Coturnix japonica: one gene and its partner. The protein of the gene in region 1 interacts with the protein of each later gene in a biochemical or structural test. Links are inferred from orthologs where the notes say so. Each region holds a gene or a part of one and is shown on either strand. Other genes may lie near its edges.

Region 1 (10,902 bases):
TTTTTCCAGTATCATAGTCTCGTGCGGGTTGGAAGGGACCTTAGAGATCATCGAGTCCAACCCCCCGGGATTCGAGCCTCTGTGTAGCAGAGCGGCATTCCTACCACTTGCGCCATCGGGGCACACACAGTACCTTCTAGCTTGAGCAAAAATCCCAGTCTTTTAGAAAAGTTTTTCCTGTTCTGTATCACTAGAGACAGAGCATTACTGTACAAGGTTACTTTGAATCTGTGTTCTCAGAGCACTTTTTTACTTACAGGCTGCCACTGTATGACAATGAAAAAATTGACATTCTAGTTCTGTTTTTCTTTTTTGTTTGTTTGTTTGATTGATTGTTTTGATGGTCATTTAATTGTTAAAGTTTGTTTGTTTATTTGTTTTTTAATTGTTAGAGGCTTTTCTTCTCCTTTGTCCCACTTTCTTCCCACAAATTACTTTAAAATAATAATAATAATAATAAGGAAAGTTTTAGCATGCTTTTCATTATGGCATTTCCCGTGACAAATTTATAGGCATTTTCTTTTCTCTTAATTTTAGCTTTTACTTCTCCTTCATAAGCTTTAAATAGCTGTGCTACCATTTCCTTGAAAGTCTTAAGTGAATGCAAAAAGCCCAGTGCCACTGAAATGCTACTATATGTATTCCCAAGAGCATATCTGGCTGCCTTCATAGTGTAACAGTAGTATCCCCTGTTGCCACTAGATTCTTTATTTTTGCAGTCACTTGTGCATGACTTTCTCCACATCAGAAGAATTATTATAGAATTCATACACTGTGCTTCACCAGTAGTTGTGTAAATTCCATTACAAGCAAGTTCTCACCCTAACATCTTGAGTACTCTGCAGTTATTTGCAGTCTAAATGCATTTGATACAATGTGGTAGATGTTTCGTTTGTTTGTTTTGAAGATAGTTTAGGAGGAATCAATAATACCATTTTGTTTTCTCATCTTCTTTTTTTATTTTATTTTATTTTTTTCTTTTTTTTTTTCTTTTTCCTTTAGCCAGTACTTTATTTCTAACATTGATTAATAAAGTGGCAGCAGAAAACATGGAAGCAAATTTGTTGGTAGAACTCTATGGACTAATCGACACCCAAAATTCAGCACAAGAAGTAGTTAACTATTGAGTGGAGTCCTTAGGATCTATGTTTCAAATTCATTAGCAGACATTATATGTCAGATTTTGTCCTTTGTTTAGGTGTAAAAGCAGGAGGAACAATCTCCTTTTACCTGTCTTACGTATAAACTTATCTGCATTTAAAAATATTCTATCTAAAGTGTCTTATATTTAGAGCTTAGCTTAATTTTCTCTTTTGATGCACTTAGTAATTGGCACAGAAAACACGCTCGTCGATTTACTGCTTGTTCTCTCTATCCCCACTTGCTTGTGCACCATAGCTTCTTTGGACAGACTGCCCTTTCTAAATGTCAGGAAATTACTTAAGCCCTTAGGTGTTTCTTTAACTGGAACACTTAATCATTGTTATTATTTTAAAAGAAATATTCCCCATCTCTTGCTCTGACCATTAGGAAATGTTTTCACAATGAAATGAGTGGTGCAATCAGTCTGTTTCACAAGTATTAACAGAAATCCTATATTTTTCAGTACTTGAAAATAATTTTGAACTGTAAAGTTGGATGCAAATTTGTCTTGGAGATTCGAAGTAGAGACAATACATACTAACAGTAAGGATGCTTGTGAACTGGCCATATGTCAAAAGTGTTCTTCTTTTAAAACTTCCCTTTAAACAACATCAATAAAAAAAATAAAATTAAATTAAAAAAAAACTTTTGAAATTAATACTCTCATTGTACAGAAAGCTTTGCCTCATGGACGGAAATCAAAGGCTAAAAGAATTTAACTGAATGCAGCAGTAGTTAACCTATGATTACTCATGACATGCAACTACATAGACATACGGCAATCCCTCTTCTTCAACAAAAACAGTATTTATATTTGCAGAAATGGGACCAAACAGAATATACTCAAAACGGTGCCACTCTTGACCTTACTAAAGGCACATGTGAAAATCTATTGAAATGTCTTACAATTAGGAGAGCTGTTGGAATTTAGTAGTGCAATTTAATCATTTCCTTCTGTTCCCCAGATCTTCAAATACTCAGCTAGCAAGTACTCCTCTTTGTAATGTGTTTGACTTCATACTGTTATCTCCTCATTTGCACCTAAAGAGACTTCCAAGTGCTCACTTCTTCAGATATTAAAGCTAAATAGCAAGACCAGGCTTGCTACTCTTGAGGCACATCTGAACTCTGCAAAACAAGACTGGAAAAAGCCTGCTTAAGATACGTACAAATTTACTACCAATCCTCAAGCTATATTATTTTTAAAGAAAAAGTAGCTTTTTTTGGGTGCGTTTTTTGCGTCTTTTGACTTTCCTGCTGAATGTACATACCTGTTGAAAAACAATTATTTCCTACGCTGATGAAATCAGACTCTAACCTTCTGCAGAGCTGAAACACCTCTCAATTTCAAAATAACCTATGTTTTGCAAGAAAGAGTCTCCTGATCAGGCCTAATAACTGACTTCTTAGAACTTAATTAGTTATTAACTAACTACAAACTACAGGTTTACTCTCTTTTTTTTCAAGGTGTGTTGAATTCTCTGGACACCTGCCTCTTAAGAAAGTGAATCTTTCACTAGTGACACAATCAAAACATACAGAGTGGTTTGTTCTGCTTTTCTCTGAAGCTTGTCAGTTATTAAGTGAGATATCTTAAACATAATTTGTGTGTGTTTATCTGTTTCGATGTTTCTCTGCTTTAGTTGACAACCATTATGTTTATTTCCCATAAGCTCTTTTGCCTGACTATCCTATGAAGAAACAAGAATTATGACCAGAGTTAACTATAGTAGTATGGGTATATGCATCTTGAAAAATACATAGGGTAGTTAAGAAAAATGAAAATAGCTGTCTCCGTGAAAGATATGTGGGAATATTCTATCCAGATGTCCTCATTCTAATATTTTCTTCTATTAAAAAAAATTCAACTTTTCCAGATATCTATTTCTATTATCCTAGATCATTCCAGTGTGAAACTGACAGCTTGCAATTTTTATCACAGAACAGCCAAGGTGATCTCTGATTTCCCAGTAGCTAAGTCTGCTGTTCAAAGGAATATTTGGAAGCCACCCTAAAAGAGACCACCAAAGTTTGTACAAAACTAAGAATCAACAAGCCTAATTCCACCAGTGCACCTGGGGTTTATAACTACCTCATTAGTTATCTAAAGCCTGGACAGTGACACAAAACAGAAAAAATAGAGGTAATAATAATAGAGGTAACAATAGCAGGTTTTCCATTTTGGAAATACTGTATAAGACCACCAGGAAAAAAGGAAAAAAAAAAAAAAGATCATGAACTGTAATCACTTCTTCCTTTTTTTTCTTTTTCCAACATAGAAACTATAATTAATATCTTTAAAGAGTAAATCAAATATAACTTTTTTTTTCATGTATTAACATTTTTAACAAGTCACTTTCAGTTAATTTTTAACATCTGAGTTCCATAAATCCTTGCTGAAGTGAAAGAAAAAAGTACAAAATCAACAATACTCTGATACTGTTATATTCTGTTTTGACTATTTAAATAATTAACTGTTTTGTTTTGTTGGTTTTTTTTTATTATTTCATGTACTGTGTGTAGACAAGCTGATAGGAAATGAAGAAAAAAAATGAATCTACAAGCAAAATTCACAGAGATTAATTTTATTTTTTTAAAGTTAGTTTGATTTTCTTAGATGAAAACTTCATTCTTTCATGATTAATTAAGCAAATAGAAACTTAATGATATTTGTTGACTTTAGATAAATAGTGGTAAAAAGATTTATTCATTCCATACAGAATACATTCAGAGTTCCAGGTTTTCTACATAAAAGCTGAATACTAAGTACAATTCCAAAGAAATCTCACTGTGTGAAGCCTGTATATTATATAGGCAGCTAAGGCTAATATAAACACCTTCAGCAACAGGACTTGAGTGCATCAGAGCAAGATACTTATTTATCACTTCCACATAAAGCCACCAGGATGGTTTCATAATCCCCTTTGAGTTCATCCTGTCAAAGTATAGAGAAGTACAATTGTTAGGATAATGGTCACAAGCAAAATCAATTTCAGTACATTTACTAAACATATGATATTCACATAAATAAATTCATCATTTTACAACATAATCCACAGCATGAGCTTGAACTGAGTACTCTCACTGAAGTGAACTATTCATTTCCCAGACAGGAGTAAATGTAAACAAGACTGACAAAAAACAAAATAAAATGTTTCTAGACATAAATGAAAAAGAGAAGTAGGAAATAGACAGGACTTAAATGTCCAGGAGGTTAAGTTTTCCTTCATTACACAAAGTGAAAATGCCTTCCTTGATCAGTGACATCTAGTGTTCATTCATACTAAAATACTACACATGTTCATTCATACTAAATCCAGTGTTCATCTGCACTAAAACATGATGAACATTTTATCTATGATTGTATGAGCCATTAATAGTCCAGTGATACTGGATTCACCAAAGAATGTCTTACTCAGCCATGAGAAATAGATAACTCACTGAAATTTGACATGCTATGTTTTCTCAAGTTTGAATCTATCGTACATATACTAAAGTATTATATACTGCAGACAACCTAGGCCTTGAGTCATTTGGATACATTCACCATTTTGATTAAGATGGTGATATTTCATAGAGAATTACAGATAACACACAATCATAGTGGAAGAATAAAAATGGTCTCCGTCATCTAAGTGAAAAAGAAGCCAACACAAGCTAAAATCAAGTAGGTACTTTAGTACATGTAGAGACTATGTTTTCTGCTCTCTTCCTTAATCATTAGCCTCCACAAGGGTGTTCTGCAGGTTTAGCTTTCTTCTAGTACCTCACTTGCTTCAGTTTTCTAGGAAATAAATTGAGTGGACTGTCTCCTTTAAAAAGATATTTTAGACAGTTTATCTCATTTTAACTAAGTAACCTGGAAAGCAGGACAAACAGACAGCAACTTAATAAGATATTTGCAGGAGTATTCAAACATGAAAAGAGCCAAATGCACACAGTTTACCTCACTAAGTTGTAAGATCGATTATGTCCACCCTCCCACTAACATGCTTTGTCTGCCCAAGTCAGGAGCTTGGGAATAGATTAATCTTTCAACTTTTGGTATCTACTATAAGATAACCACAATTAGCCAAAAAATTATAGCTTTTGCAACAAAAATATTGCACCATAAAGTAAGTCAGTTCTACCAGCATATGGATCTCTGAGAACATGAGTTACTCAGCTATGCATTATTCAGATAACTGAAAAGCATAAGAATTATCAAACATTTTTTACCATTCTGTAGCTCACTCAAGAGAAAACCTACCATAATTGCTTGGCGAAGAGATATACCATACAGACTCTTATAATAAGCCTTGATCTCATTCAAGTCTATTTCATGGCGTGAAACCATGATTCTGATTAGCTGTTTGTGTCGTGTTCCACTCCCCTGTAAAAAGTAATGAACAAATAAACAAAAATTAGTGCTATTTAAGTCATTGAAAAATTTTCCTAATTAAGATTCTTTCTGTTAATCCATATTTTTATTTATATTTTTATCAGTACAAAGGTCCGATTTCTCTAAAATATTTAGTCCACTCATATTGAACCTTCTAGTTCCAGTGTGGTTAAATTTTGGTTGTCTCCACCCTTGGACTTCTTCTTATGAATTTGTTTCATTTGCTTCCTAAAAATACACAAATCTTTTATCATGCTTGCTGAAAACCAGGGACAAGCTAGATTTCGCTGTAGTGTATTTTTGAGGTGAGTTTATTATTATTTATTTGTTTATTTATTTTAGTGAACTGTTATTTTCATGATTCTCCCAGCTGGTCATGGACCAGTCAAAGCTGATCCTTATCAAATCACAGGCGTTACATAAATTCCTGCATAATATACTGCTTCATGAGCCACATGAGCCGTAGTCAACTCAGGATCCAAAACAGTCAGATGTTTTGCCAAAGATTAAGCTCTTACAAGGTTCCCCTCCTGATCTATAGCTGCTTTCCTATTTCATTATTACCAATATTTTAGTGGTTACAAAAAATATGAAGACATTCAGTTAGATTTCTGTTACAGCGCAGAATATAAGATGTATGTGTGAATGGAGGGGTGCCTTCCTGAATACACACTGGCAAATCAACAGTTCTTTCTATGGAAGGACACTCAGAAATTTCAAAGGAGTGAAGTCAGGCAGAATCACATTGGATTCTCCTCTGCAGTCTCATTTTTATTACACAAAGATCTTGGAGATATCTAGCTCTATGTTTGATTTTTCCATTCATAAAGCACCCCACGAACACAAGAAGTTCTTTCTCAAGGTTACCTTCATTGCCAAGTGGAGTTTTTCAGCAAAGAAAGCTGGCTTGCTTGTGGCACACTTCACTATAATGAGACAGTGGAATTACTCATGTATATTATAAATGTAGAAAGAAACAAAATCAAAAACTGAAGAGAATTCTTAAAATATCTCAGTGTTCTCACTAGATACACAGATAACCTGTTTATTCTTTCACTTGACTTCAAAATATGGGAGAAGTAGCAGTTCCTTTCCTGTATCTGTTCAGAAGGCAATTCAATCACAGAAGAAAATTCTACTTTCTCTAAAGTCAGGACTGTACTTCCAAGCCTGCTGTCACAAAATGTAAGATGTTGCAGTTCTTACAAAGAAAAAACATGAAAATTCAGGTTCTCTACAGCTAAGCTGGAGGTTATGACCTGATATTTTGTAAGCACTTCACATCTGATACTAAGAGAGATCTCATTTGTTTTTATCCAAAGAATGCTCGACTGTGATGCAAAAGAGAAAAACAAGTTGAGGGTCTGCTTTCTTATCCCATCCCTGGTCCAAGAACAACAAGTAATTTAAGAGGTTCACCTTACTGCTCATGCAGGTAATTTTGAAGGTTTTAATATACATCTTTATCATGAATCCTATAATAGTACTTTCTTGAAGAACACCATTAAAGAAAATATATTATGTTTTTAATAACTATACGTAGTTAATGTCTTGCTTCCCAGTGAAGATAAACCAAAATGGTTTTCCATTACTATGAAGTAAAAGTTAGTTTTTCATACAGTCAGCATACATAATAACTTATTACCCACAGAAGTACTTACCAAGGGCAGTCAGACAGTTTTCAATATCACCTTTCAGCTCCAAATCAAGTACTTTGTTCATGTCATGCTTGCTGTATTTGGCATACTTCTGAAAGACTAAATGAGGGAAGAATACTCAGTGAGGAGTGATGAAAATATAGTATTCTCATTCAAAACTGACCTTGTTATTCTGTCTGTACTGCTATGGCAATGAACAAACATGACTGGTTGCAGTCCATCTTTATCATTTCCTTCAGCTACCACAGTGTAAACAAAAGCAGTACTGTAAGAGCTGATGATGTCAACATGAGGAAGAGAACTGTGCTAGGGTGTGGAGCTCATTTTCACATTAGCAGAAGAAGAGGTGATACAGTTATTCCACTGGAACCTGTACAGTTTTCTCACTGAGGGCAACCTGGTTTAAGGAGCTGCACCATGTGTTTGGAACCCAACCACACTGATTCACTCTTCTTGTGTTCACTAGTTTTGTGAGTAACATTTATGTTAATAAACTAAGTGATACTGCTCTTTACTAGAGTGAAAAGAATGGCAGAGTGGCCAACTGCGCCATTAGGTCATCAAGCATAACCTTCATAGCAGTCTTCTAACATCTTGGAAATCTACATAATCTTTGAATTTATGAGCAGGCCATGTTCAAAACACAATTCCTGTAAGGAAAAAATTTCACACATCCTACCCCTTCGAAGATGAGGGTAGCTTCTTGAAGTAAGAATGGTAATAAACACACTGACATCCGCCCCTTTTCTTTTCTCTCCTGCTTCATATAAGGCCTGCCATAGACACAAAAAATAAACTTTAAAAAAATAAAATTAAATTAAAATGGTAAAGTTAACATTGGTATAGTAAAACCCATATAGAAATACTGTATTCCTGAGGATTATTTGCTCCCAATACTGACCTCTACCTTAAAAGCTACCGTAAAAGACGTTTTGCAACATTTCTGAAGTTGGCTATTTAAGTTTTCATTTCAGCTAGCGCACCTCATGAACTTTGGAAAATAGCACCCCTCAGAAAATATTGCTACATAATATACAACTGTTTGTCGAGTTTGCATTGCACAAGTGGTGAGACAGAACATTCACAGCCTGGCAGAATTTGTAATAGTGTCAAGTAAAGAAACTCTGCTGAGTGCTAAGTGTAGTCTTACCCTGGCATCATTGTCAGCAAGATCATCATTCACATAAGGATCTTCAGTTCGGTCACCCTATATAAAAATAAGAAAATCCACTGTTAGTTAAAATAATCCAGTTCAGTAAAATTCAGTATTTTAGAGTTCTGATCTGCCATATTCATCAAGAACTCAATATAGAACTGCAGACAGCTGCAGTTATGTTAGTTATTCTGTGAGTAAGCTGACATTTTTGTTAACCAATCAGAGCTCCCACTTCTGGGGCCACCAACAGTGTATTTCTGAAATCATACATTAGAATACATTGATATGAGTGTCTTAATGTGAAGTTACAATCTTTAAAGCTGTGGCACGCTGTCTGATGACCACTGAGTAGACTTCTTCCAAGGTGATTTAAAAGGAAAACAAAAAACCTAAACCGTGCATCATAAAAATAATACTATGTATGTACACAAGAATCATGTACACATACTCAGCAGTGTTGGCACCAAATATTCATGTATTCTAAAAAGTTATTTTTACTTCTTAGCTCCCATTCTTCAACTGAACTGCTTTCAAGCATCCATTCACAGTACATACATACATACATACATAAAATATGTCAATTTATTAGAACCCTGAAACTACCTCACAGGAAAAGCATTTTAATGGGTAGCCAAAAAGGTTTAACAGGTAGCCAAAATAAGCATTTATTCCTTTTATATTTCTAGTCAGTAGATATTCTAGCTGTTTTCTCAAGTCCTAAAAGACAGCTATCACTGAAAAAACTTAAACATCAAATTAATAAATTATAATAAACAACACATATACATTTCTTTAAAATCTGTCTGAGATAGAACTTATTGTAGCTTGTTGAAGAATCTTTGCATATGATCTATGTTATATGAGAAAAAAAGCAGCACAACAAAATAAATAATAATTAAATTCTTATTTATTTCACAAGTTTAACATAATCCTGACAACATTACTGCTAATGTCACTGAAAATGTTTAAGTACAACATACCTTGGCTAGAGTAACCAAAGCCTTTTGAAAGTCTCCAGATGTGTCAGAAATTATATCTTGTGTCAGATCTCTCTTCAGTACTGAAGTCAAATGAAGAAGAATAATAGTTTGTTTTAAACCATGACATCTTTATTGCTCTTTTTTTCCCCATCTTTCCTTAAATATGCTCAATAGAATTGTAGTTTTCTCTTGTTTCATTTTGAGAAAATAGATTTTTTGTGTGTTGTCTTCTTAACCCTGGGATGTGCTATGAAATTGGAGGCTAAACCCAAAAACTGTTGAAAATGTTCACCTTAAGGTACTAACACTTAGGCTCTTGCTTGTGAAAAAGAGGTGAAAATAACAATAACAAAGCCCCAAAACCTTGAAACTTTAAGATAAATTTGTCTCTCATTTTTATATTTGGTTGCACTGTTCAGCACAAAATTCTTCTGAGAAAACAAACAAACAAAAACAAAACAAACAAAAACCCCTATTATTCGTTGTTTCTAACTGAAATTTTGATTGGAAAGTTGCTTATCATTCCATAAAACATGAGTTAATTAGACAACATTGACCAATGGTAGCAAATAATACATATATGGGAGAAGACACAGTATGTTTTAGTTACCTCTCTGAACATTCTTTGCCCTCAGTTCATAGATTATTCCTATCCTTCAAATTATGAGTTGTTAATTCAGTACATTTGTGTCAAGGTCAGTAAGATGATCTTTCAACCCAAGCGATTCTATGATAAGATCTTAAGAAGGAAGACAAGGCATAGCAATGGAAGAAGAGGACCACTGAGGATTTCCTTGTATAAAAGGCAACTAAATGTGTTAACCATTTCAAGAAATACTCAGAGTTCTAGCTGGAACCATGAGTCTTTTCCTAATTTACTGAGACCTATGTAAGCCAGAATTCATCACTATTCCTTCCCTATATCTTCTTCAGTTTTATACGTAGTTTTACTTGTATCCTAAAATGTCAGCTCCTCTTTGAGAAGTAAGGTTCCTACAGAGTTTAGAGAAGATATGCATAACCCACTCTAGTTTTTTTTCACTCCAGGAATTAAGCTTGCACAGATCTGTTCCTTACAAGTGCTTTGATAAATAAATAACAGAGACATGAATCATTATGGGACAGGGCTTGGCCATTGTTCAGTCCTGCATACCATTATACTTCCTTGTTACTTTGAATTACCTTCTTTGTAGTATCTGCTGGCTTCTCTGATTTCTCTGTTGTTTCTTGATGCCAGAATCTCAATTAAAGTGTCTTCATCGGTTCCAAGCCCCTGTTAAAAATGATTGAATTTTTAAAATATATTCTTTATTGTAGAAAACTCATAATTTAGAAAAGAAATATATATATATGATGAGAATCACAGAACAAGACATACAAAGGAAAGACCTTTTGCTTTCATAAAATATTGTAATTTCATCTCACTTAGAACTCATTTTTTTTGGAATCTAATATCATGCTGATATCCAGTGGAACTGTTAAAGTGACTAAGCAACATCCATAAAAGAAAAGAACACAAAAACTGGTGAAAAATGCATCTTTTCCTTTCTATTTTAAGACATATGTAGACACAGTGGCATTCTA
Region 2 (11,109 bases), on another chromosome or scaffold:
AACTGAACGAAGTGGATAGAAAGCTGGTCTGTGATGTTCTCCTTCTCCAGACAACAAAGGGCATGCATTCACATTAGTTGTATCTAATTTCAGAGTCCCTGGCCTATCTCACAGCTGCAACTCATGGCCTGGATGAGGAAGCTGAAAACCTGAAGGAAACATTTGATCCTGAGAAGGAAACGGTTAGCAACTTGATCAATGCTTCATAACAACAACAACACTGCAGTTTGGGATGGTTGACAATGGGATTTCATGTTAATTTGACCAGTTTGGCAGCTCCTTTTCTGGGAGTGGGGGCACCATCTTTGTTTCTTCTCACCACGTCCCATAGACTTGGAACTTTGCTGTGTGGAGCTGGGTCAAAGATGGGGATTTTCCTTATGTGGCCCTTAGCTGTTCTTCTCTTTTTCTGTTCAGATTCCAGACATCGATCCCAATGCAAAACTACTGCAGCCTCCTGCTCCTGTTATGCCTCTAGATACAAACTGGCCGTTGCTGACTGTCTCCAAGGGGTTCTTTGAAGGCACAATTGCTAGCAAAGGTATTTCATTGTACTTGGAAGGCTGTTAAGATACTCAGAGCAGATACAATTGTTTCTATGTCTACTGAGCTGTTGCTGTTAAACCCCACATTTGTTTTTACTACAAATCTATAGATTTTTGGATTTCAGAGTTGGTATTTATGCTGCCCTTGACAAATCTAAAAATCTGGCTTTTAACGTGAGTTTTGACAGTTATTTTCTTAATGCCTGACTTACTCGGATGTGCAAATGAATAGCCCTGTCCTTCTTTTAGGTAAAGGGGGTGCCTTGGCTGCTGACATTGATATCGACAATGTTGGCACCGAAGGCTGGGGAGAAGATGCAGAATTACAGCTCGATGAAGGTGAGTGTGTCAAACAATATTTCTTAGAGAAGTGAAAACGTGTGTCTGAGTAAGAGCTCTAACTGTTGTTGGTTTCTTTTCCTCCCCTCTCCATGCAGATGGCTTTGTGGATGCTGGAGAAGGCTTTGGAGAGGAAGGTCTGGGTAAAGGACAGGAAGAAGGAGGTGGATGGGAAGTTGAAGAAGATTTGGATCTTCCTCCTGAACTGGTAGGGAGTTCTTTGAGTCATTGATGCTTTTGGAAGGTGCTTGCAGCTGGGGGTTGGGAGGGAGAATACTGATCTGGGCTTCATTAGAAGCTTGGTCGCTACAGCTGTGGCCACCTCTGATTTCATCTGAGTGCTGGGAACTAATCTCTGCTCTGTGTTGTTCCCTTAGGATGTTCCTGCTGGTCCAGCAGGAGGAGCAGAAGATGGTTTCTTTGTGCCACCCACCAAGGGCACCAGCCCAGCTCAGGTAACATCACAAGTCTTTGATGTTTTTCAGAAACTTTCTACCTTGATGCTGTTTCATTTCTTCCAGATTTAGTCTTTACTAATATTCATCTGTGTGCACAGCGCAAGAACTTATTAAGGGGATTGAGGGCAGTGAGTGTGTGTATATGCACAGTATGATTTCCCTTCCATTCTTGCAGGTGTGGTGTAACAATTCACAGCTTCCTGTTGACCACATTCTGGCAGGTTCCTTTGAGACAGCAATGAGAGTAAGTTACACTTGGTGTTTCTGGGGGGAAGGGAGAGGGGAAAAAAGGTGCCCTTGTCCCCTTCTGTTTTTGTCTCTGCCCTCTGAAGCTTTGTTCTGTGAATCATTCTGTACATTTCTTTCTCTGGATGTAAATTAAGAGGGTCTGTGAGCCTGAGTGGTGTCTATGCAGCTTCCTTATGGCTCTGGACAAGTCAGTACATCATTGTATCCCTTTCAGCTCCTCCATGACCAGGTGGGAGTAACGAACTTTGGACCCTACAAGCAGCTGTTCCTGCAGACTTACGCCCGTGGCCGTACAACCTACCAAGCCCTGCCATGTCTCCCTACCATGTATGGCTACCCACATCGCAACTGGTAAGCAATATTGGGTTAGCTCCTCTTCTGTGCTCTTTTCCTGTTGCCATATATCCACAAGTCTTCAACAGTTATAGCCCAAATTAGTTAGGTGTTCTACCTCTGCTAGTCGTCTGAAGGTTGGGACATCTAAAGAAACATAGATGTGTATTTCTACTGTGATACTGGGGAAACTGCAGTGGAAAAATAAGTCAGACTTTTCCATCCTGTGTTAATGCAGCGAGAGCTTGGCATTGAGGGTGACAACTGTGGAAGCACAGGTGTTGTTTATGCTATGCTAATGGTCAAGAACAGCACAGCTCTAGGTTACAGTGCCATTAAGTTGCAGCTGTGTAATGCTGGTGTGTACTGGCTGGCCTCTGTGTTACTCCTACTTCTACTCCATCCCTTCTGTGGTGCCTCTAGGAAAGAAGCTGGCATAAAAAATGCCCTCCCAGCTGTTGGGCTGAAGCTCAATGACCTGATCCAGCGCTTGCAGCTGTGTTACCAGCTCACAACAGCTGGCAAGTTTGAAGAGGCTGTGGAGAAGTTCCGCTCCATCTTGCTGAGTGTGCCCTTGCTGGTGGTGGACAATAAGCAGGAGATTGCTGAGGTGAGGGGTAGACCTCTTCTGCCTATTGTCAGTGTGGCTATGGGGCTGGAGGCCAAATGCCTGACTGTCTCCTTCTCTCAAAGGCCCAGCAGCTGATAGCCATTTGTCGGGAGTATATCGTAGGGCTCTCAATGGAGATCGAACGGAAGAAACTGCCTAAGGAGACCCTGGAACACCAGAAGCGAATCTGTGAGGTACAGAAGCTGAGTGTCAGAAATAGCCTTTAGGTTTGAAATAGGCATTGGGAATCTTCTATTCTGCCACTTCTTGCCTTCAAAAACAGATGTGGCAGTGATGAACTGGGAGAAGGTTGTGTGTTTTTGGTCTCATTTTCAGGGTATCCAGTTACTTACTTGGTTGGTTGTGACTGTATCCTTGCTTTACCTCCTTCTCCCTGATGCAGATGGCTGCCTATTTCACCCACTCCAACCTACAGCCTGTCCACATGATCCTGGTACTGCGCACTGCTCTCAACCTCTTCTTCAAACTCAAAAACTTCAAGACAGCTGCTACTTTTGCTCGTCGTCTGCTGGAGCTGGGGCCAAAGCCTGAGGTGGCCCAGCAGGTATGTCTGTGTTGCATGGCCTTGAAACACTATTTGTAGTAGACTCTATTTAGTCTGCTTTCTAGTTCCCCCTCTGAATGATGTGGTTGCTTTTTGCAGACCCGCAAGATCTTGTCGGCATGCGAGAAGAATCCCACTGACACCTACCAGCTCAACTATGACATGCACAACCCCTTTGACATCTGTGCTGCCTCTTACCGACCCATCTATCGTGGCAAGCCTGTGGAGAAGTGTCCACTCAGTGGAGCTTGCTACAGCCCTGAGTTCCAGGGGCAGATCTGTCGTGTCACAACAGTAAGGGAGTTTCTGTTGCTACTCACTCCTATCTAGCCTGTGTTTTCCTCGAGAATTCCTCTCCAGTAGCTTCCCCCTTGCTCCTGAAGTGGGTTTTGGATCAAGTTGGTGGGCAGAGGACTTAATATTTGAGGTGGAGCAGTTTGGAAATTACAAAATACGACATAGCTTAGATACTGCCTTCAGAGCCTGACATTGCAAGGATGAGCATAGTTCATTGTGGGAACCATCCAGGCTCTCCGTGTTGCATACGGGATTGGGTTATTCTGTTAGTTTCAAGCATTAATCATCACCCTTTCATTCCTCAGGTGACAGAGATTGGCAAAGATGTCATTGGGCTGCGGATCAGCCCCCTCCAGTTCCGCTGAGCTGTGTGCCAGTCCCTGGGAGGTGTGAGTTCAGAGGAAGATGGCCCTGTTTCTCAGCATGATGTGGAAGCTTTCACCTCCCACCATTCCAGCTTCTAGTCAACTCCCTTCACCGTAGCTATACTTGTGTTGTGTCTTAACTGCTCTTCTCCACCCAGAAGTGCTGTAGCAAAGCTCTCTGCTGGCAGTAGTAATAACTTAGGATCCCCTTTCAGATCCAGCTGATGTTGTCTTTGTGTACCATTGTTTTCAGGCATATATTTTCCAGAGGGTATAATGATGTGGCTCTTGCCAAGACCTGGATATGCTACAGTGCACTCAATAGGAACTGCTTGCCTCTCACACTCATTAGTGTAGGGTTCCTTAAGGATCCTATAGTACCTGGATGGCAGGAACCAGCTGGGTGTGGCTCTCATAGGAGTGTGGCACTGTCTGAAACTGGAGCCAGCACATCACCCTCAGAAGTGACTGGAGAGCAGCTCAGCACCCAAGTGTTTGTGTTGACTGTTTTGTTGTCCTAGCAGCATTTCTCTGCATAATCTGCCTCTGACATGAATAAAGTAAATTGACTGCCTTGATCTTCCTGTTCTGTAGCTTAGCTCTTAGATACTACATTATACTTCCTCTTTCCACATCACCCACCCCATCTCCTTGTGTTGTTACGCTGCCAGATAGAGAAAATTCTCTTATTTCCAGAAAATAGAGGCTGCAGTTGCTTGTTATTTTCTCTGAAATAAAGCAAGGCTTTATGATAGGATTTTAAACCTTTATTCATAAAAACAAGGAGTTAGGGATGTTGTGATATTGTTTCCATATTTGCTAGGGTTTATGGTTGAGGAATGTTCACAGTGGGGGTGAGATGAGGCTGCTTGGATTAGGGGCGAGGAGGTTGAATGAGCAGTGCCTCATGGCAGGCCACTGCAATGCCTCCTATGAGATTCAGGAACTCCTGGAAGTCCAGCTGCCCATCGCTGTTGAGATCAAGCCTCTTCATCATCCTGTCCACAACACCAGGGTCCTTCTGATTCTGCAAGAGACCAAAAGATGGGATCGATGCTTACCTGGAGAAGGGCACCCCCAGGTATGGACCTGAAGCTGTTGAATTCAGCCCTAACACAGCCTTGGCAAAAGGAGCAGAATCTATTTGGGGGCAGTGCTGGGTCAGATTGTGTTCTGCTCATGGAAATCAGGGCTTTCCCCTGTACTCTGTGGTACAGACAGAGGTTTTCAATGCCCTGGGAGTGTCCTGGCTTGGCTTTCACTCACCTTTGTGAAAGAAGCCAGCTCGGTGTTCATGAAAGCCAGGAATTCCTTCTTGGAAAGCTTGAGGTTGTCTCCTTCACGCCCTGCGTACCTCTGAAAGACGGCCAGCAGCGACTCGATGCAGCGCTCGGTCTCGGTGGGGGAAACCTTGGACTGCAAAGCAGAAAGGAGCTCAGGTTGTGCCTACAGCTTGCTCTGCCTTTGCAAGAAGGGTCGTGTGTCTCCTGGAGAAAAGGCTCAGGTCCGCCTGCCCTCCATTGTTTCCTGTATCCAACCTGTCCAGCTGCATTTTTCTTTGGTATTCATTTCTTTCTTGCTTAGCACAGCCCTGTGGTGAGGAGGGATGGGAGTGGTGCAGTGCAGGGAGTGGTTGTGGCTGTTCCAGGGCCGCAGCGGCTCTTGGGAACTTAAGGAACATGGAAACTCCCTTGGGGAACCATCAGTTGACATAGGGGTGAGGGCAGCTGCCTCTTCCTAGAGTCTTGCTGCCTTCCTCTGTGCTCTCCAGCCCCACTTGGCTGTGTCCCTATGTCTATCTTCCCCTTCTCCCCATCCCCCTTCCCCTGCACTGTCTGGTCATTGCAGAAACTCTGAGTCACTGGAGAAAAATGTGAGCGGGGCTGGCACCCAACTGCAGCCAGAACATGGGGAGCTGGATGAGGGTTAAGCCACAAAGTGAGAGCAAGAACAGGGATGTGGGACCTTTCCTCCCCAACCTCAGCATCCTGGGGCTTCCCTGCCACATCCTGCACTGCCCGAGGCCCCATTCACTCCTATATGTTGGCCCTGCCCCACTGTACTTCCACTGTCTCAGCTCTCGCTTCCTCTGTATCCCCCACCCTGGACCCGAGCTGCAGCCCCCAGCACAGGGTCTAGGAAGGACAACAGATGGAGCAAAGAGAAAGCTTGCTGCAACCCCACAACCACGGGGGGACCCTCTGCTCTCTTCCCCTATGCCCAGACCCCTCCCTAAGAGCTTCAGCTCAGCTTTTGGCACTGTTCGCAGTGCCACGATGCATCTCACGTCGGTTCTGCTTCCACCCCCCCCCGTCCTAATGCTCACTCACCATGGCTGGGGTTCAGGGCTCGGTGCGGTGCTCGCTATGCGGTGCTCAGTGCTGTGCAGCAATTGAGGGCGGTGTGAGCCTCGCCCAGCAGCGCCCAGCCCTGGTTCAGCCCTCCGGGGCCACGTTGGGCAATAGGCGGCTGTAACGGCGGATCGGGACGTGCCTGCGGTTCCCACCTCGGGCCGGGCTCCTCCCTTCCCTTTTACGTTGTAGTTTTTGCAGTTATCATGCTTCCATTTTGTTTTCTCTATTTCTTTCCCTCCCCTCCTCCATCCCCTCTCCCCCCTTTTTATCTATTTCGCATCATACCTCTCTTCTTTTAGGCTTAGGGCTGAGCTCCTAATGCTGCCCCTCTACTCCTTGCAGCATCCTTAGGCTTTGCTTTCAATTTGGGCACCCTTGAAGGCAGCTTCCCCCTTCTCACTGCCCCAGTATGCCCTGTTATGTGTTCCCCCCCAATGGGGTGCAATGGAGCTGCTTAGAGCCAGGATGGGGGGCTGTGGGGGTCAACTGAGAACAGGGGGAGCACCCAAAGCTGCTTGGGCATGTTGGGTGCACCCACGCCTGCTTGGGAATTCCTGCTGGAAACTGTGATTCAGAGCAGGGGAAAGGAAAGCAGGAAATGGGTGGGGAGGGGCCCTTCCCCACCTGATTTCCCTCATTTATTGCCCCCACATGTTGGAAATGAAAATAAAATTGCTTTTTCCTTTCTCTTTTAGCAACCCCTGCCTAGATTCAGTGCCAAGGAGAGATCTGAACTGAGACACCCTCCCACCATACTGAGCGCCTGTATAAATGACAGATGAGAACAGCAGCAGGCAGTGCAGTCATCAGCTATTTATTGTGATTTTTTTCATGCAATACATCAGCGTGAAGAAGAAACCCCAATGCACCCTCCACCACCATTTCCCTGCGGTACCCACACAGAGCTCAACCACTTCAAAGCCTCCGTGATGCTGGGGCTGGGATTCTGCTCAGCTGCTGGGAGAGCAGAAAGGTGTGACCAAACACTTGGAGCCTACAGAGGTGTTTTCCCAGCCTTGAGGAATTTCAGGCTCCGTGACTACAATAAGTGAATGGGATTTTTGTTTGTGCAGTGCACAGCAGAAGCTGACAAGCTGCAGAGCCAGCCATGGTGGGGGGGTGGAGAAAAAGAGAGCACTGAGCTGCAGAGCTGTCATGCCACAGGGCAGAAGAGACTACAGGAGCACAAAGGGCTGAGACCCAAGGAATCCAATTAGAGCAGGAAAGTGACTAAATACTGCAGTGGGGAGGGGAGGGGGGAAGCATAGACATAAGGAAGGCAGGCAGGAGCTGCTGATCCTGGTATAACTCTACCTGTCTGCCTTGCTGAGGGTTTGTCAGGAGGGGAACCCCCAAAGCATCTCACCACCTTGCAGAGCACCCCTTTACCCCTTTGTGTTGAGCACTAATGTGCCACCATGTAGTCACATCTAAGTGTAGGGCAAGGAGATGCTCAGAGGAGCTACAGATGGGATAACCCCTCAGAGTGCCTTGGCCTCATCCCTTGGTGCTTGTGGGGCCATGGGGCTGCATTCCTCCTCATGTTGAGGCTGAGTGGTATTCTCTTGCTGGGAGCTCCTTTTGCTATTTTCTTCCTGCAGCTCTGGAGCCTGGGCTGGGGGTGGACGGCTCTTGGCCTCTCTGTTTTTGTTTCCTCGGGATTCAGCTTCCTGTGAGACTTCCTCTCTGGTGGCTTTTGGTCCATCACCCTTCTCTTCCACATCATGCACTCCGGGACTCTGGTGGTCCCTCCTGTCTTCTCTGGGCTCATCCTGGCTGGCATCACCATCCAACTCAGGGGCAGAAGTTTGCTGAGCCCCTTCCTTCACCCCTGTTGCAGACCTTTCCTGAGTCTCACCTTTCCTAGGCTCCTGGAGCTCCCTTGTATTTTCCTGGGAACTGGAAGATGGCAGATGCTGTGGTTCGGGATCCAGGACACTGATTTCTTTGCATGGTCCGGCTGGTGGCTGTGGTGAAACATAGCATTTCCTTACATAGACAGGCTGCTCTGAGTCATTGGACTGCTGGCAGATGATCTCATACGTGGTAGCTTTGGGATCATTCAGGTTCTGGATAACATGGATCAAATACGCGATGGTCTGAGGATCACAGGGCTCAGGGACAGGTCTCCTGGCCTCCAATCCTCTCTCCCTTTTTTGGGTCTCACGGCGGATGTCCACATCAACTTCAGCTTCAGCCACAATGTCCTCCCGTGTTCTCTCACGCCTCACTGATTCACCAGGTCTCCTGGACTCATCTTCTCTCTCACGTTCTCGGGATACACGGCTGATCTCTACATCAACTTCAGCTTCAGCCACAATGTCCTCCCGTGTTCTCTCACGTCTCACTGATTCACCAGGTCTCCTGGACTCATTTTCTCTCTCACGTTCTCGGGATACACGGCTGATCTCTAAATCAGCTTCAGCTTCAGCCACAATGTCCTCCTGTGTTCTCTCATACCTTACAGACTCCTGTGGTCTCCTGGCATCCTCTCTCTCCCTTTTTCGGGTTACACGGCGGATCTCCACATCCCCTTCTACTTCAGCCACAATGTTCTCCCGTGTCCTCTCGTACCTAGCAGATTCACCTGGTCTCCTGGCCTCCCCTTCTCTCTTGCGTTCCTGGGTCACACGGTGGATCTCCACGTCTCCTTCTAGTTCAGCCACAATGTCCTCCTGTGTCCTCTCACGTCTCACTGATTCACGGGGTCTCCTGGGCTCCTCTTCTCTCTCACGTACCCGGGATACACGGCGGATCTCTACATCAGCTTCAGCTTCAGCCACAATGTCCTCCCGTGTCCTCTGGTACCTGGCTGATTCTCGTGGTCTCCCGGCCTCCAACACTCTCTGCCTTTTTTGAGTCTCACGGTGGATGTCCACATCAAATTCAGCTTCAGCCACAATGTCCTCCCGTGTCCTCTCGTACCTAGCAGATTCACCTGGTCTCCTGGCCTCCCCTTCTCTCTTGCGTTCCTGGGTCACACGGTGGATATCCACGTCTCCTTCTAGTTCAGCCACAATGTCCTCCCGTGTCCTCTCACGTCTCACTGATTCACGGGGTCTCCTGGCATCCCCTGCTCTCTCACGTACCCGGGATACATGGCGGATCTCTACATCAGCTTCAGCTTCAGCCACAATGTCCTCCCGTGTTCTCTCATACCTCACAGACTCGCGTGGTCTCCTGGTGTCCTCTCTCTCCGTTTTTCGGGTCTCAAGGCGGATGTCCACATCAACTTCAGCTTCAGCCACAAGGTCCTCCCGTGTCCTCTCATACCTGGCAGATTCACATGGTCTCCTGGAATCCTCTGCTCTCTCGACTTCCCGGGATACATGGCGGATCTCCACATCAGCTTCAGCTTCAGCCACAATGTCCTCCCGTGTCCTCTCATACCTCACAGATTCACCTGGTCTCCTGGCCTGCTCTGCTCTCTCGACTTCCCGGGATACATGGCGGATCTCTACATCGGCTTCAGCTTCAGCCACAATGTCCTCTCGTGTCCTCTGGTATGTGGCTGATTCTCGTGGTCTCCTCGCCTCCAATCCTCTATTCCTTTTTTGGGTCTCACGGCGGATGTCCACATCAACTTCAGTTTCAGCCACTATGTCCTGTCGTGTCCTCTGGTACCTCACAGACTCACGTGGTCTTCTGGCATCCTCTTCTCTCTCGCGTACCCGGGTTACACGACGGATCTCTACATCAGCTTCAGCTTCAGCCACAATGTCCTCCCGTGTTCTCACATAACTAGCAGATTCACCTGGTCTCCTGGCCTGCTCTTCTCTCTTGCGTTCCTGGGTCACACGGTGGATCTCCACGTCTCCTTCTAGTTCAGCCACAATGTCCTCCCGTGTCCTCTCACGTCTCACTGATTCATGGGGTCTCCTGGCATCCTCTGCCCTCTCCCGTTCCCGGGATACACGGCGGATCTCTACATCAGCTTCAGCTTCAGCCACAATGTCCTCCCGTGTCCTCTCATACCTCACAGATTCACCTGGTCTCCTAGTCTCCTCTTCTCTCTCACGTTCACGGGATACACGGCGGATCTCCACATCTACTTCAGCTTCAGCCAGAATGTCCTCTTGTGTTCTCTGGTACGTGGCTGATTCTCTTGGTCTCCTGGACTCCAATACTCTCTCCCTTTTTTGGGTCTCACGGCGGATGTCCACATCAGCTTCAGCTTCAGCCACAATATCCTCCCGTGTCCTCTCATACCTCACAGACTCACGTGGTCTCCTGGCATCCTCTCTCTCCCTTTTTCGGGTTACACGGTGGATCTCCACATCTCCTTCTATTTCAGCCACAATGTCCTCTCGTGTCCTCTGGTACCCGGCTGATTCTCGTGGTCTCCCGGCCTCCAATACTCTCTCCCTTTTTTGAGTCTCACGGTGGATGTCCACATCAAATTCAGCTTCAGCCACAATGTCCTCCCATGTCCTCTCATACCTAGCAGATTCACCTGGTCTCCTGGCTTGCTCTTCTCTCTTGCGTTCTTGGGTCACACGGTGGATCTCCACATCTCCTTCTATTTCAGCCACAATGTCCTCTCGTGTCCTCTCACGCCTCACTGATTCACGAGGTCTCCTGGCATCCTCTGCTCTCTCACGTTCCTGGGATACACGGCGGATCTCCACATCAGCTTCAGCTTCAGCCACAATGTCCTCCCGTGTTCTCTCATACCTCACAGACTCACGTGGTCTCCTGGTGTCCTCTCTTTCCCTTGTTTGGGTTACACGGCGGATGTCCACATCAACTTCAGCTTCAGCCACAATGTCCTCCCGTGTCCTCTCATACCTAGCAGATTCACATGGTCTCCTGGCATCCTCTGTTCTCTCCTGCTCCCGGGATACACGGCGGATCTCTACATCAGCTTCAGCTTCAGCTTCAGCCACAATGTCCTCCCGTGTCCTCTCATACCTCACAGATTCACGAGGTCTCCTGGCCTGCTCTGCTCTCTTGACTTCCCGGGATACACGGCTGATCTCTACATCGGCTTCAGC

The links.
Region 2: the proteins of ANXA1 (region 1) and S100A11 form a complex in vitro, tested with the Homo sapiens proteins (2 studies listed by BioGRID). The link is inferred for Coturnix japonica from reciprocal best matches to the Homo sapiens genes ANXA1 and S100A11.

Annotation. Positions count from the first base shown.
Region 1 is NC_029547.1:32,378,886-32,389,787, reverse strand, and holds the end of ANXA1 (annexin A1), read right to left. Parts: intron 10,592-10,902; coding exon 10,501-10,591; intron 9,399-10,500; coding exon 9,319-9,398; intron 8,390-9,318; coding exon 8,333-8,389; intron 7,956-8,332; coding exon 7,862-7,955; intron 7,282-7,861; coding exon 7,186-7,281; intron 6,451-7,185; coding exon 6,392-6,450; intron 5,516-6,391; coding exon 5,393-5,515; intron 4,079-5,392; coding exon 4,019-4,078; 3' UTR 3,709-4,018; downstream 1-3,708. UniProt on the Homo sapiens protein: Plays important roles in the innate immune response as effector of glucocorticoid-mediated responses and regulator of the inflammatory process. Has anti-inflammatory activity.
Region 2 is NC_029540.1:870,934-882,042, forward strand, and holds S100A11 (protein S100-A11), read right to left. Parts: upstream 6,643-11,109; 5' UTR 6,401-6,642; intron 6,291-6,400; 5' UTR 6,095-6,290; coding exon 6,092-6,094; intron 5,178-6,091; coding exon 5,028-5,177; intron 4,789-5,027; coding exon 4,636-4,788; 3' UTR 4,511-4,635; downstream 1-4,510. Other genes in the region: COPA (coatomer subunit alpha), read left to right, coding at 94-182, 418-541, 795-884, 983-1,092, 1,262-1,339, 1,518-1,586, 1,806-1,942, 2,348-2,534 and 4 more. UniProt on the Homo sapiens protein: Facilitates the differentiation and the cornification of keratinocytes.